Linked DNA regions of Macaca fascicularis. The protein of the gene in region 2 interacts with the protein of the main gene of each other region in a pairwise test. Links are inferred from orthologs where the notes say so. Each region holds a gene or a part of one and is shown on either strand. Other genes may lie near its edges. The genes, in order: ATF3 and ATF2.

Region 1 (12,836 bases), on a different chromosome or scaffold from region 2:
AGTAATTTTAAACATTGACAAATATGGAAAATTTATCTAATTTACTTAACAGAGATAACCCTGATGTAAAACCCTGAAAAAGACAGCTCAAAAAAAGAAGATAATAAACCTATCTAAATTGTGAACGTAGAAAAGAAAATCCAAATTCAGGTAACAGTATGAAAATAACCCAAGGAGCGTTTAATCTAAAATAAAAAATTTTATGTTTTAATATCTTTAAAATCCAACAGTGTAACATATGACATCCACAGGCTAAAAAAGAAAATCCAAATAAGATTCTCAATTAATGCAGGAAATACATTAGAATTCAACAGCTGGTTCCTATTAAAAAATAATTACAAATTTAAGAACTTTTATTAACATAACAAAAAGTGTTTATTTCAAATAAAGTCATCTTTAAGGATGAAATACTAATGCAATATTATTAAAATCAGGATCAAAACAAAGATATAGTTTGTTGCCAGTTTTACTAAATTTTGACCTGAAAGTTCTAACCGATGAAATAGGGCACTTATAAAAATAAGATGCACAAACACTGGAAGGGAGAAAATAGATTTGTAATTATTTGTATATGATATAATTACATTCCCAGAAATTCAAAAGAACAATTCAACTAAGAATTATTAGAATCAATATGAGAGCCCAAGAAAACTGCTAAATATAAAAAAGACACAAAAGCCAGTACCTTTTGTATATACAAATTTTCTGTATAAAAATTTGTATATAGAAATTTGCTACATTGCTTTTCTATATAGAACTATTATCCAATTAGAAAATATAACTTTTAGAAAAGATAAAATGACAATAGCAAAAATCAACAATGATGACATTGGAAACTTCTGTGGACTGCCTTGGAAAAGCTATAATGAGAATGTGAAGGACCCATATAAAAAAATTATACAATGCTGTTGGAAAGTGTAGAAGCTTTGAATACTGAGCTTTATGGCAACGACATCAGTGCTTTGCAAATTAATTTGAATGGTCAATATAATTTCAATAAAAATCTCAATAGTGTTCTTTCCAGAATTTCACAAAATCATTCTAACGTTCAACCAAAAGAATAATTAAGCATGAACAGCAAATAAAATGTGGGTTTTTTTTTGTTTGTTTGTTTTTTGAGACTGAATTTCACTCTTGTTGCCCAGGCTGTAGTGCAATGGTGCAATCTCGGCTCACCGCAACCTCCGCCTCCGGGGTTCAAGCCATTCTTCTGCCTCAGCCTCCTGAGTAGCTGGGATTACAAGCATGCACAACTACACCCAGCTAATTTTATATTTTTAGTAGAGATGGGGGTTTCTCCATCTTGGTCAAGCTGGTCTCCAACTCCCAACCTCAGGTGATCAGCCTGCCTCAGCCTCCCAAAGTGCTGGGATTACAGACATGAACCACCACGCCCAGCAGCAAAGAAAATGTTGAACATGAAAAGGAATGATGAGACAGGGGCCTTGCCAGCTCTTAAATCATTTTTAAAAGCAAATATAAATAAGAGTATGGAACTGACAAAAGAACAAGTGTAAAAATGTACATATCAAGACATAGAAGAGATATTCTGAGATCACAGTACATATGAGAACTCTATGGTAAATAAAGCATCACAAATTAGCAGAGAATAAAAGTATTGGCCAGGCGCGGTGGCGCACACCTGTAATCCCAGCACTTTGGGAGGTCAAGGCAGGGGAATCAACTGAGGTCAGGAGTTCAAGACCAGATGAAAATGGCCAAAATGGTGAAACCTCATCTCTACTAAAAAATACAAAAACTAGCCAGGCATGGTGGTGGGAGCCTGTAATCCCAGCTACTCAGGAGGCTGAAGCAGGAGAATTGCTTGAACCTGGGAGGCAGAGGTTGCAGTAAGTCGAGATTGCACCACTGCACTCCAACCTGGGCAACAGAGTGAGATTCCCATCTCAAAAAAATATATATAATAACAATAAAAGTATTATTCAATACATTGTTCTGGGTTAACTGATTATTTAGAAAAAAATTAATCTAGAGATTTACCTCAAATCATAATCAAAATAACTTTTGATGGATAGACATAGTTAGATGTAAAATACATACACATTAAAATAAAATAAAGAAAAATCAGAAGCACATGAAAAAGTGTTCAATAACTTTATCAAGGGAATGCAAATTTAAATTACAATAAGCTACTACTGCACACCTAACAGAATGGCTAAAATAAAAATGTCTGACAACACCAAATGTTGACAAAACTTTGGAGCAACTGAATTCTCATGCATTGCTTGTGGGAGTGTAAAATGGTATAACTCCTTTGGAGAAAAGGCTGGTGGTTTCTTATAAAATGAAGTATACATCTATCCTATGGCCAGAAATTCCATCCATAGGTATTTAAGAAAAATGAAAGCATATGTCTATAAAAGGACTTTTACAAGAATGTTCACAGTTTCATTATTCATAATGGGACCAAACTGGGGACAGCCTGGTGTCTATCAATAGAGGAATGAATAAACAAACTGTCATATAGACATACTATAATGAAAGCTTACTTTTAGTAACAAAAAGACACAAATTCCTGAAGCTTACCAACACAGATGAATTTCAAGAACATTACGCTGTCAAAGAAACCTTATGCAAAAGAGTTCATGCTGTGTGACTCCATTCCACATAAAGGTCAAAAACAGACCAAACTAATCACGAAAAAACTAAAATTTGTGGTTGCCTATATAGGTAGTATGGGAGTGAGGACAGGCTGGGAGAGAACACGAGGAAGCTTTCCAGGATGATGGTAATTTTTATTTTTTAAAAAGGTCTGTAGATATGATTTACATAACACACTTATTTAAAGGGTACAATTCATTGTTTTTTCGTATCCTCATAGATATGTGCAACCATCACCTGAAAAAGTCATACCCTTTAAGTTCTATATCTTGAAAAGCATATGCATCTGTCATTTGTCAAAACTCACTGAATGATCTATTTAAGATTTATGCATTTCCCTGTAATTACATAAAATATGGAAATTTTATCTTTAAAAGGCTGTTTTCTATTAGAAGAAAATATGAAATAGTTTTTAAAGTTCTATATGAGAAAAAGTCATTCTCCAGAAAAAAAAATTGACAGATTCGATTACTTTAAATCTTAAAATCTCTCTGTGCCAAAAATATATAAATATAACTTCCATTCAAATGTAAATGTCAAGCCAGGGAATTATTATTATTCAAAAAAAATAATAGGGAGGTCTTTGTTGATATATCTTATATATGTATAAAACATTTTAAATCACTGCAGATATTAAGATTCCAACAGATGTACAGGCAAAGGCTCTGAACAGAAGATTCATAAACAGAAAATAAACTAGTTAACAAACATGGAAAAAATTTCTTTGTGTTTATAGAAATTAAAATTACATCAAGAGCTACATATATCAAAGACTGTATGATTCATATATTATTTAGTTTATTTATTTTTGAGAAATATGTTGATTCTTTTTGAGGAAATATATTTAAAGTAAATAAGAATTGCCATGAACGTAGATTTAGCTACAATAATGTTTATTACAGTACTATTTACAATATTGATGAATCAGATATTACCCAAATATTTAACATAGAGTATTAGTAAGGTAAACTACAGTACAAAAATATTACATTAACTTGGGACTCTTGTACAATCATTAAAAATTATGTTGTAGAAGAAGAAGAATTCTTATGAGGTGGAAAGAATGAAGTGGGAAGATGTTTACATTTCAAATGAAAAGAAAAAAAAACAAAAAAAAGTATTGGTTCTGTTACACTAGCTCTTTCCCCTGCATCTCCACTGTGGACACACAGGCATTGAGCTTCTGTCTACCGTCTCCCTTCTCTTTTCCCCGTTTCCCTTTGGAAGCCATTCCTGTCTTTCATCCTAGTAAGAAGGAAATAGGCTCGCATTAGAAAAGTGGAAAAATGAAAGCAAGAAGGATGTACAACTCTGTTCTGGTTAACTTTTTTATTGGGCAAAAAGTATTGCCATGATTAAAAATTCAAAGTCAGAAAGTGTATACGATGAAAAGTCTCTCTACCTCGTCCTAGGCTCTTTAATTAGTTTCTCTTATCTCCTTCCAGACATACTTTTTAGAAAGACATTTAGCAAAAGCAACAAACAAACAAATGAAACACAAGATAATAAAAAGAAAAGAAGGCAGGGAGGAAGAATATGGAGGGAGAGATGGGAAAAGAGGGAAAGAAGAAAGAGTAGAAGAAATAAAGAAAAGGGTACTAGGGGAAAAATTCAAATAAGTTTATTCTGTAACGGCTCTAAACAGCCAATGTTTATTTTAGAATATATGTTAAACATTTGGATCCTTCAGCAACCTGCTACTAACTTAAAAACACTATTAAATTAGTATTAAATTGTTTACAAGTATTTTTAAAATAAATAAACCAGGATCAGAAGTAAGGAGCCTTTTTACTTGAGATGCCTTAAGGAATAGTCGTCCACACCCAAATTAGGATGCCGGTCCAACAAACATTAATGAACTACAGTAACGACGGAGTTGGGGAGGTGAAATTACGACTGTATTGGACATGCAACTTTGAGAGAAAGAGAGCGGTGGAGGTTTAGACATTAGAAATGCCTGACCCTGCATTTACCCCATTGGAGAACTGGCCTAGGACAGAAATACCAAATGACAGTCACCAGGAGGACACACTAAATTTGCTTTCTGGCATCCTCTTCAAATATTTGGGATGGGACCACAGATCCTGACTCTCCTTAACGGCCATTTTGGATTGATTTGCCGTGAATGGACTGGCTTAGATTTACTGCTTGAAGTAAGCCTAACAATAATTATTAATGGGTCCAGGATGAAGGGATCACTCAATACAAGTAGTTCACAAAAGCACACCTGAGCCTCTTAGTTCAGGGTAGGTCGATGTTTTTGGTGTGCTCTTTCTTCGGGGCTCCTTCTTTTTCCATGAGGGCGCAAATGTGGAGCATGCAAAGGATGTATACTCAAGGGACAAGGCTTAATAAAATTGTGTTGGTCATCAAAGACATTCTTAAGTAAACAGAAATACTTTTGTGTGTAATTCAGCTTGGTAGCCCCAAAATAATAACCAATTTGTTTATGAATAACTTATGTATAAGTGAATGTATAATTAGTTCACAATTTTTTTCTTAACACATTAAAAAAATTATTGACCACTCTCCATGAGAATGACACCTTGCTAGATGCAATAGCAAACCACAAGAGCAGAGCTCTGGCATTTATAGCTTTTATCTCATTCGTTAATTCTGCAAATACTTACTGAGCACCTTCTATGTGACAGCTCTAAGTTAGACACTGGGGCTACAGTAGTGGGCAGACCCTGTCCCTACCCTACAAAAGTTCAAGGCTCTTTTTCTGATGTAGGCAGAGAAAGTGTTATTAATATTCTCACTATGAGATGAGGAAATTGAGGCATTCCCATTCCAATATTCAGTTCTGGAACAGGACTGGAGCCCAGCTTTTCGCTCCTGAGGTCTAAATACTTGGCACACTGCACTCCATGTCTCTCAGAACTTTTCCCATAATAATGAGACAAAGGAGCTTTAAGAAGACATTCCCCAGTCCCCCTCTCCATGGGCTTCTGCCCCTGTCTTTAAAACTGGGGGAAATGGGTTTTGTCCTTGTTCCTGTTTTAGAAGCAGCAGCACAGCCTTAGAATATTATTATAATTATTAATACTGGTAACATCATAAAAAATAAATAATTTGCTAAAGTCTTTAAATCCACCTTTCCCTAGAGTTGGGTAAATGGAAAATAAGCTATAAAGACATTTTTTTCCCCATAAAAAGATCAGACATCAAGGCATTCAGATAACAATGCTAGATCTGAATTGGTTCTTAGGGAACTCTAAGTTCACCTGCCTTTCATGACATCTGAATCCTTTGCACAGAAACAGACACGAGACAGAAGGGTTGTTTTTCCTGAGAGCATTTTCTTATTCCTTCACTCATTGCAGCTGTTAGCAGCAGCTGGTTACTTGAGTGTGCTGAAATGCCCACTGCCGTGTAAACACTCTCTCTAACACCCTGCATTACTCATAGTTTGAAAATCACTTTGACTCCTGAAACATAATTATGTTAATGTCAGATGAGTCAGCAGGGGGACAACATGCTGCTCCTACGGCAGCTGCACCTCCTGCCAACCTCCGAACGTATCAGAGCCTGGGGCTTCAAAAAAAAAAAAAAAAGAAAGAAAGAAAGAGAAAAGAAGGAAAGAAAGAAAAAGAAAACCCCTTTCTGTGGGTGGGAAGAGAAATTATATTTATGGCTCAAAGAACAGCTTCAAAGAAGTGGCCAATTTCACTTTCCCTGCAACATGAAAGGAAGAGTTAAGTAAAATCGCTACCCCTAGGTTAATCTGTTTATGTGAAGAATAAACAGGAATTTGGAAATTTTCTCTAGGGAATCTGTGACTTTCCCTCAGAGACGGTTCAAGACAAGTCACTCTGGTCACTGTTCAGTCGTGATCCATTAGTCGCCATACGAGGAGTTTTCACTTTCCCAGGAAGTGATGCCAGGCAGTGCAGACGGTGCATCCTCTTGGGCACCAATAGGAACCAGGAGGTTGCTCAGTTTTCAGGGGTCCCCAAACCCTGGATGGCTTCCCAGCACACGCTTTGCTCCGGCGGCATGACCCCCTCAGACAGTTTGCAGCCACTTCTGTGAGCTGTTTTCAGCGTCATTTATAACCTCTCAACTATTTTCCCTCCCTCGGCTGCTGGGGAAGGAACAAGAACTGAGTAGGACAGGGCTAGGGGTTTCTATGGCCTGGCTGACCATGACCTCCACCCCATCTATGCCCCTGGTCACAGTTCAACCTGCCAGTAACCCCAAACATCACCCCTCAGCCTGCCTTACTCCACCTGCCCTGTCCAAACTCAGGGTGTTGCTTTACATCCACATCGTGCCTCCGAAAAGGCTCTCAGCTTCCTTACCTCACTGATGTCTCACAAAAATCCATATTTTATAAATGGGAAAATTGAGTTTCAGAGAAGGGGTGTCTTTGTCCACGGTCGCACAACAAATGGCAGAGCCAGATACTCAAACTTGTGCCCTTTCTGGGCTGCCAACAACAGAACCACAGATCCACATTTAAAGGATGGAAGAGGACCAGTGGGGCTGGAAGAACCCCAAGTGCACACGTTTTTACAGATGAGAGGAATAACCAAAATCCAAAGAGAAACAGTGACTTGCCCAAGGTCACACAGCTTTTACTTGGCAGAACTAGCTGCCAAACAAGATCTCTTGACCCTCATTCCAGGGCTTTTCCTCTCTAACATCTTTACTCCCTCACTCTGGACTTATTCCGTTTAAGCACAGGAAGAACCAGCTCTCCCCATACCCAGCCTATATCCAGTTAACCTATCCATGTTACACTGCTGATACAAAGCATTCTATTCCCAAAACACAAGGGCCCCAGAAGAGGTAGGAAAGTCAAGAAGGAGAACACACTAGAAGGAAGGTGTTAACCAACTCCAATTGCTTCCTATTATGAATAATCAATGCCTTACATCGACTACAGCACTGACTAATGGTATCCCCAAATCACGGTTTCATCCAGGATGAGACCGAGACCACATCACTGCCTCACTGGGATGCCACAGGTCATCCCGCAGGTGTTATGTAACCTGAAGAGGGGTCAGTAAAAACCTTAATCCAACCTAGAGCTTCTGCAGCACTCTAACTCCTGGACTTTTTGATCCCTATCCCTCAGATCACTTCACTGAGTGCCATATGCACCGAACTGCTCACTTTCCCACCCCTCTTCCGGGTGTCACCCACCCAGCAGGGCCACAATGGGTACTCCCCCAGCTGGAGGCTTCCTGACCAAACACCTTTCTCCTGTAACATTTTTCCCACTTAGCCCCAAAGCCAGAGAAAAAGTCAAGACTCACATTTTGGGGCGAGGTGCTGAAAATCCTTAGGAAATGGCAGAGCATCCTATATAGAGGAGGATTTCTCTTCTTGTCACATCTTCCCATCTGATCCCATCCAATTTATCCTCAAGGCATGGTTGGTCAACTAAAGCTAACCCCACCTCTGCCCCCCAAAGCAACCAACAGCTGTTACTATATTGAGTGGCAATATGATGTCATATCATAGGTGACTAACCCACCAAGGCTTCCCTGCGAGCCATCATCTAAATATGACAGCCTTCCATCATCCTGACCTTTTCACGGGAGAAAGCTGAGTGAGGGGCTTGACACTGATCCGGGGCTCCAGTGCATGTCTGGCCTTCTGTAGCCAGCACCTCTGGGGACACACATGAGCAAATGAGGACACACAGGCCCCTCATGCACAGATTATTTTCTAGTAGAAGACACTTTCACCCAAAACAGCTTTCTTGCCCTGGCCTGACTTTGAAAATAGTAGCCATCAGAATAGATAAGAATCACAGTCATAGGGAGGAATGAGGAGGCCTGTATATATTTACCATGCTATATATCCAGGTGCTGGATTAGATTCTTTACATACAGTTTTGCATTTAGCTCTCAAAACACTCTGAGGAAGGCATTACAATCTCTGTAAAGTTAGAGAAACTAAGATTAGAGGGGTAAGTAACTTCCCCCAGGTTACAGGGCTTGGCTCAGATTCCAGCCCAAATCTGTGTAACGCTACAGTGGAATGAACTCTACAGAAAGGTGTTAGCACCTCACTTGGCTTTCTTAAACATCAACTTTATTGTGTAGAACAGTTTTAGATTGACAGCAAAATTAAGCGGAAAGTACTCAATTTCCCACAGACTTCCTCTTCCCACACTTGTATAGCCACTTCCTTTATCAATATCCCCCACCAGCTGGTACGTTTGTCACAATCAATTAACCTAATTAACAAATTATTCATACATGAAATCCATAGTTTACGCTGGGGTTCACTCTTGGTGTTGTACATTCTATGGGTTAGGGCAGATTTTTAAACACAAGAATCTACCATTATTGTATCCTACAGAATAGTTTCACTGCCCCAAAAACCCTCTGTGCTCCACCTGTTCATCATCCCCACTCCTCAACCCCTGGTAACCACTGATCTTTTTAGTTTCCATAGTTTTGCCTTTTCCAGAATGTCATATACAGTCATTCATCACTTAACAACAAGAATATGTTCTCAGAAATGTATCGTTAGGTGATTTCATTGTTGTGCCAACATCATAGAGTGTACTTACACAAACCTAGGTAGTGTAGCCTACCACACACCTAGGCTATATGGTATAACCTATTGCTCCAAGCTACAAACCTGTATGGCATGTTACTATTTTGAATACCGTAGGCAACTGTAACACAATGTTAGGTATTTATGTATCTAAACATATCTAAACATAAAAAAGTTAATAGGTTGGCTGGGTGCAGTGGCTCACACCTGTAATCCCAGCACTTTGGGAGGCTGAGGTGGGCGGATCACAAGGTAAGGAGTTCGAGACTGGCCTGGCCAACATGAAATCCCATCTCTCCTAAAAATACAAAAAATAGCTTCGCATGTTGGCAGGCATCTGTAATCCCAGCTACTTGGGAGACTGAGACAGGAGAATCACGAATCTGGGAGGTGGAGTTTACAGTGAGCTGAGATTGTGACATTGCACTCCAGCCTGGGCGACAGGGCAAGACTCTGTGTCAAAAAAAAATAACATTAATACGTTTCACTACTATGTTATGACAACTGTATCACTAGATGACAGGATTATTTGAGCTCCATTATATCTTTTTGCTTTTTTTTTTTTTTTAATTTTTATTGTTGTTGTTTTGATACAGAGTCTCGCTCTGTTGCCTAGGCTGGAGGGCAATGGTGCAATCTCAGCTCACTGCAACCTCCATCTCCCAGGTTCAAGCTATTCTCCTGCCTCAGACTCCAAAGTAGCAGAGATTACAGGCACCTGCCACTATGATCAGCTAATATTTGTATTTTTAGTAGAGACAGGGTTTCACCATGTTGGCCAGGCTGGTCTTGAACTCCTGACCTCAAGTGAGCTGCCCGCTTTGGCCTCCCAAAGTGCTGGGATAACAGGTGTGAGCCACCACTCCTGGCCCATTATATCTTTTGGGACCACTGTTATATCTGCAGTTCATTATTGACTGAAACGTCATGTGGCACATGACTGTATGTCCATGTGTTTTCTATCCAATTACCACACAGGTTTACCTTTTTTTATTCCATCCATTCATACATCCAATATTTATTGAGCACTGAATAAATGGAATGAATGTTTGTGTCTCCTCCAAAATTGTATGTTGAAGCCCTAACTCGAAGTCTAATGGTATTTGGAGGTGCAGCCTTTGAGAGATCATTAGGTTTAGATTAGGTCATGAGGATGGTGCCCTCATGATGGAATTAGTGCCCTTAGAAGAAGAGGAAAAGATAGGAGAGCTCTCTCTCTTCACAGGCACAACACCAAGGAAAGGCCACGTGAGGACACAGCAAGAAGGCAGCTGTCTGTAACCCAGGGAGCCAGTCCTCACCAGACACTAATCTGCTAGCACCTTGATCTTGAATTCCCCAGGCTCCAGAACTGTAAGAAATAAATATCTGTTGTTTACACCACCCAGTCTATGGTATTTTGTTATAGCAGCCCAAATTGACTAAGACAAGCACCTACCATATGTTCATCTTAGATAACAAGTCCTTAGAGGACATTGAATCTGTTTAGGTAAGTCTCTGCGCAGAGTTGCACCCATTACAGCACCTCATTCCATTAATAAATGCTTCCCCTGCCCCTTATCTTCACTATGACACTTAAAAAAATTTCTGGCTGGGCGTGGTGGCTCACACCTGAAATCCCAGCACTTTGGGAGGCCAAGGCGGGCGGATCACCTGAGGTCCAGAGTTCGAGACCAGCCTAACCAACATGGAGAAATCCCATCTCCACTAAAAATACATTAGCCAGGCATGGTGGCACACGCCTGTAATCCCAGTTACTCGGGAGGCTGACGCATGAGAATAGCTTGAATCCGGGAGGCGGAGGCTGTGGTGAGTTGAGATCATGCCATTGCACTCCAGCCTGGGTAATAAGAGCAAAACTCCATATAAAAAAAAAAAAATCTTTAAAAATTGAGATGAGGTCTCACTATGTTGCCCAAGCTGGTCTCAAACTCCTGAGCTCAAGCAGTCCTCCTGCCTCGGCCTCCCAAAGTGCTGGGATTAAAGGCATGAGCCACTGCTCCCAGCCAAGAGATTCTTTTTGATTGGGGTTGGGGAGAGATGGGTGGGGGGATAAACAGAAAGCTAGTGAGTGGTTGAAAATATGAAGCCTGTGAGGCCATCTGCATGAATAATTATCATCAAACTGTAATATAATATTTGTTATGTGTAACAATACAGATATCAAATTATTGTGATGATGATTATTATAACAAACCATTATGCAGCACTTCCTGTGTTTTAGAATTTAAGAGTTTTTACATAAATGGTAAATCTACTTGTTGCCTGAAAAGGCTGTACAGGCTGAAATATAAATAGAATGAAAGTTTCAAATAAATTCCTGGAGGGCAGATCCAGAACAAGTTATTAAAGTGGAGTTAGAAATAATCAGGGTGCATTCCTAACCTATGAGAATGATGTCATGAAGGGCAAGTGCCATAATTCAGCCCAACCCATGGTAGTGTCTCCATTGGAGGCAGAGCTCATGGCCATTGCTAAGGAGTTACTATGGAACTGGATTCCACCAGGGACCCCCGAGCTTCCAGCAAGCAGGGAAACCCTTCCACCTCTGTCAGGGTGCAGACCATGTGTGTCTCGCTGCCCCATGGCTCTCCTTCCGCAAAAGTGGAGCTTTGCTTTGTGTCACACAATGAGTCACAGGCACAGTTGGACACTGACCCAGGATTCCTGTTCTTTTGCTTGCCAGGGCTGTTTGCCGGAGATCACAATCCTTCCACATTAGTGGCCAGTTACATTTATGGTTCTTAATGACATTTAATGGGGCTTCTGGGATAAAGAAATGATGGAGAGTAAAGACTGGAAGATAAAAAATTAAAATTGAAATGACAAACAAGATCTTTATTACTGAAGGTTTAAAAATGGCAATCCACTTCACTGTGTCATTCCACTGGGAAATGATTCCTGGGTCTGAGGAGGAACAGCTCACCTGTCTTCAAACAAGGTGGGAGGCAGAAGGAAAGAGGAAGTGGGAATAGCCAGTGGTTATCAGAAATCGTGTTCTCCAATTCTTCCCTATGATTTCATGTCTATATTTACTTCATATCATTTGTCTTCCCTTCCATCGTATATATGACATGTTCCCATTTGCCATGCACATTCATGCCCTTTGTCCTACCTGCATCTTATAACAGTGGTGTGTGTGTGATCCATGGAAAAGAAGCAGGCTGGAAGTCAAGTAACTAGAAATCTCTACCCCTAACAGGCCGTAGGACCCGGGGAGGCCACCTCACCTAGACCTTAGTTATAAAACAGGGGCTTGCCTGGTTGGCCTGGAGGTAGCATACCACTCTAAGTTTCCATGTGTGTGTGTGTCCACCCCGAATACAGAGGAAGAAGTTCCTGTCCCCACAGAACCCCCATGCCCCCACCCCCAACAATACCTGAGGCTGCCAGCAGTTTTTCTCTCCTGAGGAGCACACACAAGGTGTTTGGTCACAGGCACTAGGAAACCTGTAAGAACTGGAAGAGCAGTGGGCAATGCTTCTATCAGTATGAGGGGCAGGAGCTGGGGACACCAAGGAGAGAGCCTGCTGGTGGCTGGAGACTGGGGGCGGGTGGGGAGAGGAGTCAGCTCTAAACATCTCCCAGGAGTCAGCTGGAGGTGGAAGGTGCTTCTGGTACACCTGGCATGTGTAGCCTGAGGAAGGGGCTGCAATAGTTAGCCAAGGACCAGTAGTGATTGTCAGACGGTAACA
Region 2 (12,736 bases):
AAAACCTTTTCCACATCATTAACTTATGAGTAAATTCTAGCTATAAAAGTGTGCTTTTATTAATTTATCGTGCTTCCACTCCACACACATTTTGCAGTATCTAAGTTATTAGGTTGGTGCAAATGGAATCACGGCTTTTGCCATTAAAAGTAACGGCAAAACATACTTTTAATGGCAAAAACTGTGATTCCATTTGCACCAACCTAATATAACAGCCAAATCCACACAAAAATAATTATCAAGTTGTACCCACAGAGTAAATGTTAAGCAGCTACTGTTAGTAAAGAAAAGGAATCTGCTTTTTGTTCATAAGGAAACATGCTACATTTATAAACTGAAAATTAACCCCCACAATGAGTATAACTTGAAAGACAAAGCTTATAAACAGTAAAAACCATTTCAAGTAAAAGATAACAAAATTAATAAACAGATATTACTTTAAAAATACAATAATTGGCTGGGTGCAGTGGCTCATGCCTGTGATCCCAGCACTTTGGGAGGCCGAGGCGGGCAGATCACCTGAGGTTGGGAGTTCGAGACTAGCCTGACCAATGTGGAGAAACCCGTCTCTACTAAAAATACAAAATTAGTCGGGCGTGGTGGCGCACGCCTGTAATCCCAGCTACTCAGGAGGCTGAGGCAGGAGAATCACTTAAAACCGGGAGGGGGAGGTTGCGGTGAGCTGAGATTGCACCACTGTACTCTAGCCTGGGGAACAAGAGCAAAACTCTGTCTCAAAAACAAACAAACAAACAAAAAACCCCCCAATAATTTATAACCAACAGTATTCAATTTTTGGTCTAGATTACCATAAATGTCTCTAATATAATTTGATGAAATTGCTCTTTTAGCAATGATTTGGGAAAACTAAAACAATACTAAATTTAGTGAATGCGGCAATAAGGCTGAATATATTTTCTTTAAGACCTAATATGTATTTGGTAAAAATATGAACAATCATACCTCAACACTTGCTAAACCTTGTATCACATATAAAACTTATAAGTAAACTATGGGTCATTACTGCCCACTACACTGATCAGCTAAGCTTGCATGTCACATGAAGGATCATCAAGAAAATACAGAATTGATTAAAGTTTTCACATAAAGTAGGGTATAATTATTTCTTTGACGTTCAATTTTCCTTACAAGTCATTCTGTTCTTCACAGTTAATGGTTTTGCTGTTGGCAGACTGAAGGAAATTTTTCTCCCTGAATCTATTATAGGCATGTTAACTCTTCACACTCTGAAAGCTAAAATCTGTCACATTTAAAAAACTTACTTTACTTGACAAATAAGTAGAAAACAACAAAAAGTCAAAATAATATATCGACTTGAAACAATAACAGAAAGTCATAGTTGAAGTACCCTTTCTTTCTAAACCATCCACACTCTCAATTCCCTCCTCACCATTGTTTGCACGTTGGTACATGTCATTCCTAAAATGCTAACTATACTTAGGGAGTCATTTTTATACCAGTTCCTATACCTATGCATTTACCCATCTAACTGTAAACCTTTTTATTAATAAGAAAGGATTATGCTTTATTAAGCATAATAATAATGCTTAATTAAGATGCAACTGACCTTTTTTGGTAATTTACTGAGGTGAAATTCATATAACATAAAGGTAATCAGTTTAAACTGGCATTAGTACATTCACAATGTTGTACAACTACCACCCTCTGTCTAGTAACAAAACATTTCCATCGCTCCAAGGTAAAACCCCTTACTCGCTAAGCAGTTTCTCCCTATTCTCCCTCCCCCATTAATATGCCTTCTCTCTCTATGGATTTATTTATTCTGGGTATTTCACATAAATGGAATCATACAACATCTGATGTTTTGTTCTGTATTCTTTCACTTAACATAATGTTTTGAGGTTCATCTACACCATAGTATATACTTCATTCCTTTTTATGGCGGAATAATATTTCATTGTACTTATAAACCATAACTTGTTTATCCATTCAGCTTGGATGGATATTTGGGCTGTTTCCAACAACTTTCTTTTTGCCCATACAAATATATATACTATAGATATTTTCCCAGGTTAACATAAATAGATGGATATAATACTTTTTTTTTTTTTGGAGAAGCATTTTAAATAAAATCCTCGATAATATATCATTTTGGCTCCTATTTTAAAATGCATTTCTAAATCTAAGACGATGCCATCATCACCCAGTTTTTAACGATTAAAAATACTGGTTTTACTTGTTCTGTACATAATTTGAGATATTAAACTCAAGTTCAAATGTAGAGCTTAATTTAGTGATTTCCTAAATTTAGCTTCCATTTAATAGTCTCATGCTTCAAAAAATGATGTCAGCAAACTTCTACCTAATGATAAATCTTTATTTATTTATTTATTTATTTATTTATTTATTTATTTATTTTTTTGAGACGGAGTCTCGCTCTGTCGCCCAGGCTGGAATGCAGTGGCCGGATCTCAGCTCACTGCAAGCTCCGCCTCCCGGGTTTACGCCATTCTCCTGCCTCAGCCTCCCGAGTAGCTGGGATTACAGGCGCCCGCCACCTCGCCCGGCTAGTTTTTTGTATTTTTAGTAGAGACGGGGTTTCACTGGGTTAGCCAGGATGGTCTCGATCTCCTGACCTCGTGATCCGCCCGTCTCGGCCTCCCAAAGTGCTGGGATTACAGGCTTGAGCCACCGCGCCCGGCCCGATAAATCTTATCTTTATTTCTCCAATCAAAAAACTTCTACCCAAATTAGGAAGTATATACAAAGCACTGCTAAAATAATGACATTTTAATCATAGATTGTGATAGAAAAAACATGAAATAAATGGGGTCAAGATTATATTTCTTTTGAATACTGAATTTTCCATGGTTTTCTACAATAATAAAGGGCTAATAGTGGTAACCAGTGCTGCAGTATAACTAAGGAACAGCAATATCTCATTAAAAACTATTAAGATTGCTCTAAAATGGTTCAAAGCAGAAAACTTGCCTAGCTTAAAATTCCTGTAAATAATAACATATATGTATGTACTACTTCATAGTTTTCAGGTGCTTTTACTTCTTAAATAAGGCACAATAAGCCAAATTACAAAGGAAAATAACGGTAAATCTGTCTTACTAGTTTTTCTGTAGGAAGAAACCCTTGAATTGACTGATTTATGTAACAATACAGAGAAGTAAGACCATCAGGTATTACCACATCTATTATATAGGTAAGACAACTGAAGGTAACAGTGATTGTGTTTTATGTCATACAACTAAAAGAGAGCAGGTCATTCAGAAGATTTTGTTAGTCAAGAACGGAAAAAAATACACCTAAATCACTTCATTAATGTAATAATATCTGAAAATTTAATAATAAATATAACAGAGTTGATATAAAATAGCCATTTTTGCAGCATAAATTAGCACCTACAGTCTATATTATTTAAAAAAAAAGAAAATTTAGAAATGTTTTCTAAAAATTTCTGAAACTTGTTCTTGATTAAAAATTTATCAGATGATGGGCCAGGAACAGAGGCTCAAGCCTATAATCCCAGCAATTTGGGAGGCTGAAGGCGGGTGGATCACCTGAGGTCAGGTGTTCAAGACCAGCCTAGCCAACATGGTGAAACCCCATCGCTACTAAAAATTAGCCGGGCGTGGTGGTGTGCACTTGTAATCCCAGCTACTTGGGAGGCTAAGGCAGGAGAATCACTTGCACCCGGGAGCTGCAGGTTGCAGTGAGCCAAGATTGCACCACTGCACTTCAGCCCAGGTGACAGAGAGAGACTCCGTTTCAAAAACAAAAAACAATTTATCAGATGATAAATAATAAAATATATGTCTTAATAAATCCTAGAAGATAAGTACAAATTTTAAGTCTATGTGATGTGGTACATTGTATTAAAAATTTCTTCTAAATCATTAAAATCATTAAAAATAAGTTCTGCAAGACAATCTATTTGTTCTATCATGTCAATATTCAAAGCACAATAAAGACTTGAAAGATGTCTGCTTCGCATTAAAAAAATTTAAATTATAAAACTTACATTTGGTTAAATGCTATGTCTGATTTAGCTAAAAACTGTTTCCTAACCATTTAAACAGACAATTATATTGGTGATATCTTAAAGACAGATTTAAGAAGACAGCAGGTCTCTTACCATCAATTATGATTATACAGAAAGATTCATTTTTAACTGAGTATGGATAATTCAGAAGATTTAGCTAGATTAATAACAAGTGCAATTTATTAACATCAGTTTTCTAGTTGATACTTATCAATTGGTAGTTTAAGATTATATGGGAGAATATTTACGTTGAAAAAACACAACAAAAACAAAAGGAAGGAAGAAAAACAAAGGAAACAGATTTGGTGCTGCCTTAAAACTTTATACTCCATGAGGTTTTAAGAAATGTATCTGAGGCACATTGGCAGGGCAGTATGAAATGATCTGTACTGCCACTGGCCATAGTGTACCTGGTCTGTGGATAATTAGAGTCCTTCAGTTTCCAAAGCTGTCAATCTGGCACCTTTCACGAGCAATATATTCACTTTAAATAAAACAAAACAGAACAAAATTTATAATTCAAAGAATGAAAGAATTCAAAAACTGCTACTGAAGCAACTTTATAGTTGTGCTATAAACCAAAAAAATAGACAAGAAAAGTGAAATAACAGTGATATTTTTAAATTTTAAAATTCTCTGCACTTTATATCACAACTTTATAAAGTTCAAACCAGATAGTTTAGCTACTTCTGTACGCAGGTAAACATATTTTAAATTTCTTCATTGTATCAGTGTTGAAAGCTTTATATTATTTAATCTCAGCATCCAAACAAACAGGTTTACAAAACTATGATTTACTATAGATTCCATACACACCCAATATTATGTCCTAAAATGTATGGAGGCCCAACTAGAAAAAAAAAAAAAAAAAGCTATGTTCACAATTATTAAAAAAGAAATAAAACAAAATTCACATATATGCACCTTACCTGCAGCTGACCATTTAATGAACTCAAGTCTTCTGCTTTCTTCTCTAAAGACTGAACCCAGACTTTCCTTTTTTGTCGGCATCTTGAAGCAGCTGCTCTATTTCGCTCTAAAAACTTTCTCCTTTTTTCATCAGGATCTTCGTTAGCTGCTCTTCTCCGACGACCACTTGTACTTTGGGTCTGTGGAGTTGTGTGAGCTGGAGAAGCCTATTATAAACAGAGATGAAAGCTTGTTATATTTGTATCTAGTGAGTGAATTAACATAGGCAGTAAACGGTGTCAAAGGGGGACAGCAATTTTATTTTCTAAGTTTTGTTGAATACATCAGTATGTTGGGACAATATGAAAATGTGGTTTAACGTCTTTCTTGAATATACTTATGTTAGGAGCTATCTATAACACAATTCTCACTAATGCAATGTCACAGCAAATGTATTCTTTATATATAATATTTTCATTTACATACAAATATGAAAAAATTTAAAATATGATACAAATGATATATAGAAATATTTTTCCAAGTGTATTTTAACAGATTTTATTGTATTATTCAATCCCTGGAAAACTGCTGATTATAAATTTCTCAAAATGTTTAATAACTTCCTATTTAAATTCATGATAGAAAACCAAGATTTCTATGCTATTTTTAAGTTAAAATATCTCATATTAAATGTCAATTTTCTTAAAGAAAATTGGTTTCTCTAAAGTTATGAAGTGAAAATATGTATATTCTTTGGTATATTCCGATTTTCTTCAGTTCGTGAAATTTACGGTCAGTCTTTTTCTAAGGGTCAAGTTCTTGTATTTATTAATGCTCATTTTTCTGATAGGGAGAATCCCACAGGAACCTTAATTTTCATTTTAATTATTCCCTCTGCTCCCCAGTGAATCAGCTTGGTTATCTCATATTAGCCAGAGAAAAAAGGAGACCTTCAGTCACTAGTAATACTGTCTAGTGTTTAAGACTATAAAACAATGGGTACCTTCAAGCCTTTCATGAACCCCAAAACTGTGCCACAGAACAAATGAATATGGGTGTCAAAAAATGAACTCTTGGCTGGGCGTGGTAGCTCATGCCTGTAATTCCAGAACTTTGGGAGGCCAAGGAGGGCGGATCACCTGAGGTCAGGAGTTCAAGACCAGCCAGGACAACATGGTGAAAACCTGTCTCTACTAAAAATACAAAAAATTTAGCTGGGCGTGGTGGTGCATGCCTGTAATCCCAGCTACTCGGGAGGCTGAGGCACAAGAATCGCTTGAACCCGGGAGGCAGAGGTTGCAGTAAGCCAAGATTAACACCACTGCATGCCAGCCTGGGCAATACAGCAAGACTCAGCATCAAAAAATACAAAAAAAAAAGAAAGAAGAAAATGAGCTCTTGGAAATGGTGCAGAGAAAAGAACACTTTGTGGCTATAGGCACATAATCCAAAGGAGAAGCCTGAAAACAATCTTTTACCTATGATTTATTATATTTAAAAATGGTATGCACAAAGAAAATTTGTTTTCTCCTAATCTATGTAATACAAATCTTACATAAGGCTCAAGTTAAATTCTGCAGGTAAATTACCAAACTATTTTTCACTCTAAAAAATTCCAAAAAATAAAGTTATCATTTCTTTGTCCAAACAACTAGCATTACAGAGAGAGTTATTTCATTTATAAAGTATTTCACACCTGGGCAACATAGCAAAACCTCATCTCTACAAATAATTTAAAAAATTAGCCAAGTGTGGCGGCATGTGCTTGTGGTCCTAGTTACTCAGGAGGCTGAGGTGGGAGAGGACTGCTTGAGCCTGGGAAGTCGAGGCTGCAGTGAGCCATGACTGTGCCACTGCACTCCAGCATGGGCAACAGAGGAAGATCCCGTCTCAAAAAAGTAGTATTTTAATTGTAATAAAGATTAAGCATTTAAATTAGAGTGTTTCTTTTACCTACGTAATTGTAACTTAATGTTTTAGAAAAATATTTCTATGGTTGGCTTCAAGATTTGCAATATTGAAATTTTTTCTTCATTCTCCTATTTTCCTTTTTTTTTTTTTGAGACAGAGTCTCGCTCTGTGGCCGAGGCTGGAGTGCAATGACGTGATCTTGGCTCACTGCAACTTCTGTCTCCCGGGTTCAAGTGATTCTCCTGCCTCAGCCTCCCAAGTAGCTCAGATTACAGGCGCCCGCCATCACACCCAGCTTAACTTTTGTATTTTTAGTAGAGATGGTGTTTCACCAGGTTGGCCAGGCTGGTCTCAAACTCCTGACCTCAGGTGATCCACCCACCTAGGGCTCCCAAAGTGCTGAGATTGTAGGCGTGAGCCACATCCTCCTATTTTTCTTACTGAGAATAGTAGGTTTTTTCTTTTACTCAGCTGGCTGAATAAGAGAGAACAGTTTATTTTTGGTTTTAATTGATTTAACTCATTACAGCAAAGACTAATCATAAGTACTAGAAGAATAGCAGAAGCTTAATTTCTGCTACTCAGAGTTATAGTTGTATATCTTTATGCCTATCAAGGATTGGAGGCTTCTTAGAAGTGTATACTGCTCCTTCTCGTCCCATGTCTATTGATTAATTCATTCCATTTCATTCAGAAAATACTTATAGGAACTATTCTAGAAACTAAGTATAGCAGTGAACAAACAGATAAAGTCCTGCCCTCATGGGGCTTCCATCCAATACAACAACATATAAATATACAAATAAAAATTAGATCCAGGAAAACTATAGTTAGTACAAGAAAGGACAATAAAAATAAATTATATTCATTTTTTAAAAATAACCCTTTAAAAATGTAAAAAGTCATACTTAACTTGCAGACCACAAAAAAACACCCATGGGTTGCATATGGCCTGTGAAACATTGTTAAACCCTGAGGTATAACATTAACACACATACACAATCACTCAGCCTCTCATTTTCCCTTTTGGTCCCTAAGCTGTTTAGTGGATGACAACCACAACTACATTTCATTATGTTAAGTTTTTAAAAGACAAGATGCAGTTATGTAAATACTTATGCTTAGGTGGCAATCTAAAACTTGTTTATGTGTGTTTCTTTGATTGAAAACTTTTGCTTTTTAATGCCAATGCTAATATTCTTCAAGTAAAGATAAAAGGTCTAAATAGAATTCTGAAACACTTAACAGGAGTACAATAATCCTTTACTAGAAAGAATTAGAAAGGCACTGCAGGCATATAACAATATCAATCATCTCACAGGCAGTCACAGACTAGAGGTAAGTGAAAGGGGTCTCCAGTATAAACAGCTGCCATAAAGCGTATTTGCTCCTTTGGTGATGTTTCACAAGTTTTAATTCAGCAACCATTTGATTTATGTTAGTAATGTAATACCTACATATGTGTGTATGTGTGTGAATATTTATCTACATATTTCTCTAAAAGACTTCTGATTACCTACAAGTGAGATAAGGTTACTTATACAAATAAATAACAAAGAGTAATGTTTTACAATGAGTGAGCAAATATTAAAAGCAGAAACAAGAATTATTTGTTCTGCTAGTATCGGAAACAGAAAAAAACATCTGCCTCTTTGGGACATACACACTTTAATGGTTGTACATGGCAACACAATACTAAAATATGATATGCATTGTAATCACAAACATATGGCATTTTAGGAAAAAGCAAAATCAATAATTTTTTAAGACGAGATCCAAAAAGATTCTTTAGAAATCTTAGTTTTGCTACTTGAAAAAGAACATAAGATTTAGTTATATACATTTCTGAAGAACACAGCATCCCTTAACAAAGAAGTTATTGTCTATAAAATTTACAGAACTTAACCTATTAAATTTTCCTATAACCTCAATACCTTGGTTACATAGGAGAATAGGTCAAATCAAACCTGTTTATGCCACAGCAAGAAAAAATATCTAGTGTTATTAGTTATGGTTTATGTCAAATTTGTAGTTTTGGACAATAAGAAAACAAGATACAATTTCATTCTTCTCACTATAAGGTTCTAATATTATTTTTCTAGTTATATAACTATTTTCCAAAGTCATAACTCTATAAACTTCCTCAATCAGGAAACAGAGAGTAAAGGAAATTTCTCAAAGCAGTATTTAGTTTCACTGTCCTAAAATCAACAGAAAAAGATATTTTCTTTAAAAAGAATCGTGCCACGTCAGACCAACATATATGGACACCCACAGAAATAGTTACAGGTGTCCTAAACAGAACAACCGCTCTATTATGTTTATTTTTGTATCAATTCTTGTACACTGAGCTACCTTTTCCTAAGGCTTTTGATACCCCTTTGGAATAACAACATGACCAGAATAATATTTTTTAAATAAGTCATAAGTTATACTGTACTTGTCTGTTTAAAGATGACAGAGTGCTGAATAATAAAAACAACACACATACCGGAGTCTCTGTAGTGGATGTGGCTGGCTGTTGTAATGACTGTGGTCGAGATTCCTCTGACTGAGTCCTAACCAATCCACTACCATGACCTTTGACAGTATCACCATTGGTAACTGGAGGATGTTGCTGGGTCAAAGCAGCTTTTAATCTCTGAAATGCAAACACCATTAAAATTTTTTTTTAAGTCCTTAAAGATCATCATGAATATCGGTAAGACAAACAGTGAGATCTTAGGTAGTTTCCTTGAGTCTTTTTGCCTAGTACTACTAGAGGATTATGTATTTTGCTGTTTCTAGTGAATTTTGAGAAAATAATAATAAAGGCCTTAAAAATGTAACATCGTGTCATTGGCCAAGTAAGCACTGGCACCAAATCTGCAAACAGAGATCAAATGGGGACAAACTGAGCCTCCTCCTAGAACCTACAGCTGAGTTTCTCTCTCTTAGGTTTTTCCTGTCCCCAGTAAGCAGATCTAGTTCTCTTTTGATGTTGCAGTTTGCCAGTTAATTATTGGATTGTATTGGACTCACATTCAGAGCATGATAGATCTAGTATTAGAATGAGGCCCCAGATATTTATGTCTACCACTTTCTCAAGATACAATTTCAGTGAAGCTTATTATGCTATCAATAAAAATTTGTCATATATGACTATTTTATCTCCCAACCAGTTAGTAAGCTCTTTAAGAGCAGAGATTATCTTATACTTTTGGGTATTCCTTTTAGCAAATGGTATAATTATTTGATACATAGGTATAAAATAAACACTTGTTAACTGATAGAAATTGATTTCTTTAGTGAAAATGGTCATATGTGATCTTTAAGGTGGTTTTATTGTTACGATCTGTAAATATGAAATAATTTGCAAAGATAAATCATACCACAGTACCTTAGCAATGAAAGGGACTTCGGGGATCCCACAGACCTGAGACTATTATTGCTGATACTGTTCTTAATAACTAAGATGTAGTTCTTGGGCCCCAAATATACATTATTATAGAAATTGGAGTCAGAGTTATATATACTACACTTTCCTACGATTCTTATAAAGGTGCATCTTTGAGGGGGATGGAGGCTAATAAGAGAGTGAGAGCGAGTGCGAGTTAGAGACAAAAGAGAGAGACAGAGACGTGAGAACTATGTTGCAGCCTACCCAGTGTTTCCCAAACTTCTCAGAAGTAAATAACTGTCTGGGGTGTTAAGTGTTAAGAACACATATTCTTGGCAATCTTTTCCTTTCTTCCTTCCCTGAGTATAGCAGAAAGGGGTGAGTGAGAGAAGAGCTTTTGAAAAAGATCCCCAAATAATACTAGTACAAGTATTTCCATTCACTTCAACTAAGAAAAATTCAGAAATTTTTATAACTATTTCAAGACTTGTAATTTCTTTCTTTTCATCTAGGCCTATCTTCTTACTATGTGATCCAGATCCCATAAAATCTGAAGCATATATGAAAAGATCACCAGAATTTTAACTGAGGCAGTAATTATGCATGAACAAATGTTACTGGACATTTTTTCTCTCTCTTGCGAATCACTGTATATTCTGGGTGTGATTTTTAAAATAAAGTCAATTTGTAAAAAGAAAAGTTTTCTTGAGATATAAGTTACGCATAGCAAGTTAACTCTGTTTAGTGTACAATCCCATTAATTTTTTTTTTTTTTGAGAGGGAGTCTCTTCCTGCACCCAGGCTGGAGGGCAGTGGCATGATCTCAGCTAACTGCAACCTCCACCTCCATGGTTCAAGCAATTCTCCTGCCTCAGCCTCCTGAGGAGCTGGGATTACAGGCCCATGCTACCACGCCCGGCTGACTTTTGTATTTTTAGTAGAGACGGGGTTTTCATGTTGGCCAGGCTGGTCTGCAACTCCTGACCTCAGGTGATCCACCCTCCTCCGCCTTCTAAAGTTCTGGGATAACAGGAGTGAGCCACCGCGCCCGGCCTCTATTGAATTTTAACAAACAAATACACTCATGCAACCTACCCTACAATCAGGATACATAACAGTTTTACCATAACAAAATCCTCATGCTCTTTCCTGTCATACTCTCCTCCCTGGCCCTGGAAACCACTGATCTATTTTCTGATCCCAAGAGTTCTGTCTCTTCCAGAAGATCATATAAATGGAAACATACATTGTATGGCCTTTTGAATCTGGCTTCTTTCCCTTAGCACAATGCAGTTGAGATTCACCTGTGTATTATCTGTGTTATCTATTATCTGTATTATCTATATTATCTGTAGTTTTTTAATGAGTTTTTAATTGTATAGTATCCCCATTTTACACTTTAGGAAACTAGGTATCATTTGCTCAAGGATGCAGAGCTGTTAAGCTAGTTCAAATTCTGGATATAAACCTAGATCTCTTCAATTTCAAGTTCAAAATATTTCCATGGCACCATGCTGCATACTTTATCCTTGGTGCTACCAGAAAACACAGGGAAAGATCAAGAAAGAGAGTCTGAAGCTTTGTGGCTTAATGATTCAAAAGACAATCATAAGGATTGAGAGTGCCAAACCTGTTAACTGCAACTGCTAAGCCAGGATCAGTCATGTTTTCTCCCTCTTTTCTGACAGACTACTTCTTCATGAATTATAACAATTACCACTTATGTAGTATCTTGGTGCTTTCACTGATTAGAACATGCAATGTACTATGGTCTTATACAGCTGAGAATACACTTTAGGTTCAGCACCTAACTCCACCTCAAACTATCTGTGACTTTGAACTTAACATTGATCTTTGAGTCTCAATTTCTTTACCTATAAAACTTGGAATAATAACTTCCTTGCAGAGTTGAGTTGAAAAACAAATGTAACATGTAAAACTATCTGACTTGTAAAAGAATTTTTCAGATGTTTCCTTACTTCTTTAAGAATACTATTGAGGCCTCTATTTTCTTAGTACGGAGGTCCAAAGAATCAGGAGAGTTTCTATGTTTCTGAATTTTCAAAATGTCCTTAAGGGTCATCTTAAGCATTACTTTGATCCCAGACATATTTTATATGTGAGATGTAAAAACTAGAGGTTCTTCTTCAAAGACTTTCCTCCCATCTAATTAGGAATAAATAGTAACTTCTCTTAGAAGCAAAATTTATTCAAAGACCTGTGCTAATATTCTTAAATATCTGCTAGCTGTAATAAAGAAATCAATGTACTTTATGTTCTTAGCTCCCACAATTTAGCCTAAATATATGCCCTGGCATGCTTATACTGGTCCAAGCAAGCATTAGGTCATAGCCTGTTCCTCTTCCTTATTTGAAGGTGTTTTTACCTTTCTCAGGATCCCACAAGTTACTTTCTCCTTCCTTTATTATCCTCTGCCTTTGTTGCTTTAAAAAGTTCTAAGTTGTGGCCGGGCGCGGTGGCTCAAGCCTGTAATCCCAGCA

What was found.
Region 1: the proteins of ATF2 (region 2) and ATF3 interact in binary tests that used the Homo sapiens proteins (3 or more experiments, as listed by UniProt). The link is inferred for Macaca fascicularis from reciprocal best matches to the Homo sapiens genes ATF2 and ATF3.

Annotation. Positions count from the first base shown.
Region 1 is NC_088375.1:70,366,402-70,379,237, reverse strand, and holds the start of ATF3 (cyclic AMP-dependent transcription factor ATF-3), read right to left. Parts: upstream 7,964-12,836; 5' UTR 7,887-7,963; intron 1-7,886.
Region 2 is NC_088386.1:70,651,249-70,663,984, forward strand, and holds part of ATF2 (cyclic AMP-dependent transcription factor ATF-2), read right to left. Parts: intron 9,498-12,736; coding exon 9,348-9,497; intron 5,173-9,347; coding exon 4,966-5,172; intron 4,521-4,965; exon of another isoform or gene 4,447-4,520; intron 1-4,446. UniProt on the Homo sapiens protein: Transcriptional activator which regulates the transcription of various genes, including those involved in anti-apoptosis, cell growth, and DNA damage response.